Linked DNA regions of Macaca mulatta. The protein of the gene in region 1 interacts with the protein of each later gene in a biochemical or structural test. Links are inferred from orthologs where the notes say so. Each region holds a gene or a part of one and is shown in the gene's direction. Other genes may lie near its edges.

Region 1 (3,659 bases):
TTCTTTCATATTTTGTCTTTCTGAACGGATTGGGCTTGGTAGCACTTGGTGACTTTAAGAACAATAAGATACCTAAGTGTGCCTGAAGCTCATCGTTGCAGACATTTTTTGTTATCAGTATCTTACCATAGATTTCTGATACAAAGCAGTGACGAATTCAGGAAAAGACAATGTGGGAGGCACAGAAATTGGGGGAGCCAGGACAGCATTGCTCTTTGTATGTCCTTTTATTTAAAGGCATAACAGACAGCAACACCAGAGGTCTGTGTTCATACACACATGTGCTGCTGCTTAGGCTGAACTAAGCAATCACATGGGAAACTATTGTAAACTGATTTCTGGTGTCGCTGTTCCCCCTAGGTGGAGGAGAATGAGATTGAGTGCTGACTTTAAGCCTGGCTGAGAAACATACTGGCATCGATGTCATTAATGAAAGGGTGGATGTTGTTCCCCTGAAAGCCAGTGGCCTTTGACCCCTGAAGCCGCTGTGCCTGAAGGTCAGTTCACACGAGGTATAGGAAGGAGTCTTAACATTTATTTTTTTCTTAAGCCTCACCCAGCCTTTTATTCACACCACCAAGTCTAGGTTAGAATGTATCTGAGCAGTGAAGGGACCAGAATGCATAGTTTTCAAAGGGCAGTTTTTCCCTTACTAAAACCTAAATTCATTTTTTAGACTCTGCTAGCAGTTTTAGATGTAATGTTACAACATGTGTTTTATTCTCCAGGACCTGATTTAAATAAATGTGATAAAAATAGGCTAAGTTTTTTGTCATCCAGGGCTGCTTCCAACTGCAGGCAGATGTGAGAACTCTGCCTCAGGAGCCATTGATTATGCACAAAGTGTATGTGCATGTGTGTTTGCGTATATTAGCTTAATAGATCGCAGTCATTACTGAGTGGCCTATGCAAAGGAATCTTACAATAATTATAACTGTAATGTAAAACATTTGGGGCCTGCTTTATTTCTTGGCTCCAAGCTAAGTGGAAAATTCCTTTTCATGGAATGTGTTGTAGCTCTTGAGACTCCAGCCTTTGGAATAAGAGTAAGTAAATATAAAATCTAATACCCTAACGTTTTCCTTTCATGAACAATTGGCTCATCAACTTTGATTATAGTTGTGTTATGCCATGTTGTATATTATATGAAGTTTATATACTTCATTTGTTCTAGGGTTGGGCAGAAATAAATGTTGGTAATTTTTTTTTTTTCTGTGATTTGCCTAAGCAGTTGGAAAGCCTGCCTGACTTGGGAGACCTGGATTTGCCAGTTTCTAACAGTGAAATTTCTAACCTTGCTTGTATATGTTGTTACAGGAGCTTTATTGCAGAAATGACCATTTATATCAAGCAGCTGGGCAGAAGTAAGTGTTACTGTTACCCAATATTCCAAGTCTTTGTATAGAGAAGGAATCTTCACATTTAAGTCTTGAAATACAGAAGCTGTATTATTGAAAGAGCACGTGATATAAGATAGCATCTAGGGTATATATTAGAATATTAGTAATTATAAAGTAGAGGCAAAGTCTCCCAGTTTGCATGTGAAAACAGACCGTGTTAGTGTAGTATTTCAAAAGTAAGACACAGTGAGATGATTAGGAATCTGCCAGCGTCAAAGAATTTTAAACTTTTTTTTTTTTTTGAAATGGAGTCTTGCTCTGTCGCCCAGGCTAGAGTGCAGTGGCGTGATCTCGGTTCACTGCAAGCTCCGCCTCCCGGGTTCACCCCATTCTCCTGCCTCAGCCTCCCCAGTAGCTGGTACTACAGGCGCCAGTCACCACGCCCAGCTAATTATTTTGTATTTTTTAGTAGGGACAGGGTTTCGTCATGTTAGCCAGATGGTCTCGATCTCCTGACCTTGTGATCCGCCCGCCTCAGCCTCCCAAAGTGCTGGGATTACAGGGGTGAGCCACTGCCCCTGGCCTTAAAACATTTTTTCATTTTTATATATAAAATGAGTTATTTTGAGTGGATGGGTAATACTAAGGGAGAGAGGATAAAGGCGGGCTAACTTATGTCAGCTCACTTATCAAGGTTAATTTGGCTAGTTAGGCAGAAAGATATCTTTGTACCCCTTTGCTTTATATTCATCTCTCCTAAAGCTGAATGATACTGGAGGAGAGGAAACTTTCTATTAATATTTTCTTTAAGGATATGAGTAACTTAGCTTTAGTTTAATGCTGAAGTCAGCAAACTATATCCCTCTGGCCAAATCCAACTTACTGCCTGTTTTTATAAGAACTGTTTTATTGTGTAACATAGCTACACTCATATTTTAGACTTCACAGGTCACACGTTGTTATTTTCGTTTTATTTTTACAAATCCTGAAAACCGTAAAGCCATTCCCAGGCCTGTGGTTTGTCAAACTCTATTGTCAGTAAGTGCTTTCACACATTAAAGGCAGAGTTGAGTAGTTGTGACAAGAGACTCTATGGCCTGCAAAGCCTAAAATATTTATTATTTGACCCTTTATGGAAAAAGTTTCCCAAATCCTGGTCTAGTTAACCACTCTGGACCCAATTACTTTTACTGGTTTATTTTTTACTCTTTGTCTTTTCAAACTATGTTTTCTTCCCCTTTTTTAATGCCCGATGATCTTAACAGTGACAACTTTGTTGAAATAGATTATTTGCTTTCATAATATTGATTTGTATGAGTCCTAGTATCAGCCCGTAACCAAAACAGTTGGTTATTTAGTTGCTAAGCTGTTGGGCAATTTCTTTTGTTTAGCTAGAACCCATGGCATACACTGTATTTGAGAGCTTCTTGTGTACGTAAACCCATAGTTTCTTGTGATGTTTCTTCACTTAGGTGATTTCTTTCTGGTAATCCTGACCTTACATTACAGGGATTTTTGCACGAGAACATGGATCAAATAAGAAACTGGCAGCACAGTCCTGTGCCCTGTCACTTGTCAGACAACTCTACCATCTTGGAGTGGTTGAAGCTTACTCTGGACTTACAAAGAAGAAGGAAGGAGAGACAGTGAGTCTTTAGATTTAATAGACTTGTGAGATAGTGTAGGATTCAATTTAGCTCTTGTTTAGTATTTGGCTAAAGAAGTTTAATTTCAAGGAATCTTACCTCAGGGAATGAAAATGGTCCTGCTAATCATCTCTGTGTCTGGCATAATGTTCATAATAGGCAGTGAGTAAATAACCATTGAAGTAGTTCTTGCACTAAAGGGAACTGACTGTTGGTTTAGGAATATTGTAGACTTAGTATTGACTGTATAGTCTTAGCCCCATTGTAGTAGATTTGAGTAGTGTTGTTATGTGTGATCCTTTTTCCGTAGGTGGAGCCTTACAAAGTAAACCTCTCTCAAGATTTAGAGCATCAACTGCAAAACATCATTCAAGAGCTAAACCTTGAGATTTTGCCCCCGGTAAGCATAAAGCTATTTAGTTCACATTTGTGTAAAACACTCAGTAGACAAGCAAGTCATATTTTTTTTTTCTTATTTTTTAATAGCCTGAAGATCCTTCTGTGCCAGTTGCACTCAACATTGGCAAATTGGCTCAATTTGAACCATCTCAGCGACAAAACCAAGTGGGTGTGGTTCCTTGGTCACCTCCACAATCCAACTGGAATCCTTGGACTAGTAGCAACATTGATGAGGGGCCTCTGGCTTTTGTGAGTGTAATATTGTTTTTGAGAT
Region 2 (2,317 bases), on another chromosome or scaffold:
ATAAATGTGCCTCAGTTGGGAGAATTTATGGTGTGGTCATCTGGGCATCCAGAGCTAGGAGGATAAAGTGTTGGCAAGTGAGAAAGAGTCACTGAGGAACGGTCTATAGTAGTATCCTAATTGTGTATCTTTAGTTTGTTATGAGCATGTATGATGTCTGTTAATATTTTCCTCCAGTAGTAGAGAAAACGTGCTAAGGAAAAAAAAAATGAAGATGGAGAGAGTAGAAGCAGCAAGTGAGAAGGCTTTCTGAAACATGTAAATGGAGTGGGCGGGACTCAGTGGGCTCTCCCACCCCGCCAAAAATATCCTCCTTTTAGCTTACGGTTTTTATAATGATCAAAGTGAGATTTGCCTGTACTCCCACCATGAGGAAATGGCCCCGCATACTGACGGAAATCCTTCCAGACAAAATGGCTCTGGCATGCTTTGCAGACAGTACTATATTATACACCTTTCTTTTGCCATTGGAGAGATGAGCCCGATTTGAAGGGCTGCATGACGTTCTTTTGAATGTACAATTTATTTAACCTTTTCTGCACTGAGGAACGTTTAGGTGTTTTCCCATTTTTCACCACTACAATCAGTGTGCACGTATGTTTCCAATTCTTAAATTTAGGATAGGTTCTGGGAAGGGATTAATGAAACAGATTTTTACTTTTCATACATTCTGTCAAACTGCTTTCCAAAAAATATGGAAACAGTTGATCCTCCCAGCAGCATAGAAGTGTCTCTTCAACCTTGCATGACTGGGAATAATTCTTCATTCTTGGAATTCTGTGGGTTAAAAAGACATGTTTGATTAAATATCTGTTCCTGCTTTTATACCCTCCCCGTTGGTCCCAAAGTGCTCCTTGCCTATTAGCCTAGTTGGCACCTTGTTATGGGTTGCACCTTTGGCTCTTAGTTTCTTAATTTGTTCACTGCTTATAGCTTTTTTGTAAGCAAATCAGATTTCTGTAATACAGCCGTAAAGATATATAGAGATCTATAGATCTGTATTTTTAATTACCTACAGTAAGTGTGGTGTGGAAGGAGAAGGAATTTGAACAAAGATCAGATAGGTTGTGGTTCCATGCTTGTAGAGTGGCCCTCCGTTGGTGGGGCTGCGCTCCGGGTGGAAGCGGGTGGAAGCGTGGGTGGAGGGGCAGGGGGGCGTCCCTCTAAACTGGCAGGGTCGGGGCGGGAACTTGTAGGGCACTCAGAGCAGCCTCTCCAGCCCCTTCTGCCCTGCCCGCAGCTCATGATGGAGCAGTCCAAGAAGTCCTCGCTCATGGTGGCCCGCAGTATTCTCAACAACAAGCTCATCAGCAAGAAGCTGGAGCGCTACCTGAAGGTGAGGCGCTGGTCCTGGCCTGGGCTTGTCCCCACCTCAGTCCCTGCCTGTGCTCCCTCACTTCAGTGTCCGCGCCCCTCCCCACAGGGCGAGAACCCTTTCACCGACAGCCCCGAGGAGGAGGCTGAGGGCGGTGCCCTGGACGAGGGGGCACAGGGCGAAGCGGCAGGGGTCTCGGAGGGTGCAGAGGGCGCGCCGGTGCAGCCTCCCGTGCCCCCAGAGCCAGCCCCCGGCGCCGTGTCGCCGCCACCGCCGCCGCCCCCAGAGGAGGAGGAGGAGGGCGCCGTGCCCTTGCTGGGAGGGGCGCTGCAACGCCAGATCCGCGGCATCCCGGGCCTCGACGTTGAGGACGACGAGGAGGGCGGCGGGGGCGTCCCGTGACCCGAGCTCGGGGCGGGCGGGGCCCGCGTGGCCGAAGCTGGAAGCCAAACCTAATAAAGTTTTCCCATCCCACCTCCCGGTTTCTCTGTTACGGTGCCGCGCGGGCCGGGCGGGGCGCGGGCCGAGAGGCGGGGCGCGCATTCGCGCGGGCCGGGCCCTCGGGCACCGCTGCGGGACCACAACTCCCGACAGGCTGCGGAGGTGGAGCTTCGCAGCCCGAAAGGCTAGCTGGGACGGTGAGGGCGGACCCTCGTGAATGCCAGCCAATGGGAGCGCGCGGAAGTAGTGACGTGTGCGCCTAGTCTTCCAGTAGTCGACGGCGGAGGTGCGTTGAACGCATGCGTGCTGTGGTCTCCTAGTAAAAGGGGCTGCTGGTGGGCCGCGTTGAAGACATGGACCAGGGCTACGGAGGTTTGTGTAGGCTGCTGGGTGCAGAGTAGGTAGCGAAGGCTGAGTGCGAGCCACGCAGCCGCTGCGCAGACGGCCGCGGGCCGGGCCTTCGTCCGGAGTGTGGTTGCCGCAGCCGGGCCCTGCAGAGAGGCGGCCAGAGCGCGCGCGCGCGCCGCTCATTGGGCTTTGGCGCCGTCGCTCCCGGGGCGC

What was found. The genes of interacting proteins can lie anywhere in the genome.
Region 2: the proteins of DHX9 (region 1) and AKAP8L form a complex in vitro, tested with the Homo sapiens proteins (2 studies listed by BioGRID). The link is inferred for Macaca mulatta from reciprocal best matches to the Homo sapiens genes DHX9 and AKAP8L.

The regions. Positions count from the first base shown.
Region 1 is NC_133406.1:40,318,516-40,322,174, forward strand, and holds part of DHX9 (ATP-dependent RNA helicase A), read left to right. Parts: intron 1-360; exon of another isoform or gene 361-497; intron 498-1,317; coding exon 1,318-1,364; intron 1,365-2,849; coding exon 2,850-2,986; intron 2,987-3,296; coding exon 3,297-3,386; intron 3,387-3,472; coding exon 3,473-3,634; intron 3,635-3,659. UniProt on the Homo sapiens protein: Multifunctional ATP-dependent nucleic acid helicase that unwinds DNA and RNA in a 3' to 5' direction and that plays important roles in many processes, such as DNA replication, transcriptional activation, post-transcriptional RNA regulation, mRNA translation and RNA-mediated gene silencing.
Region 2 is NC_133424.1:15,964,479-15,966,795, reverse strand, and holds the end of AKAP8L (A-kinase anchor protein 8-like), read left to right. Parts: intron 1-1,240; coding exon 1,241-1,336; intron 1,337-1,423; coding exon 1,424-1,717; 3' UTR 1,718-1,789; downstream 1,790-2,317. Other genes in the region: AKAP8 (A-kinase anchor protein 8), read left to right, coding at 2,110-2,128. UniProt on the Homo sapiens protein: Could play a role in constitutive transport element (CTE)-mediated gene expression by association with DHX9. Increases CTE-dependent nuclear unspliced mRNA export.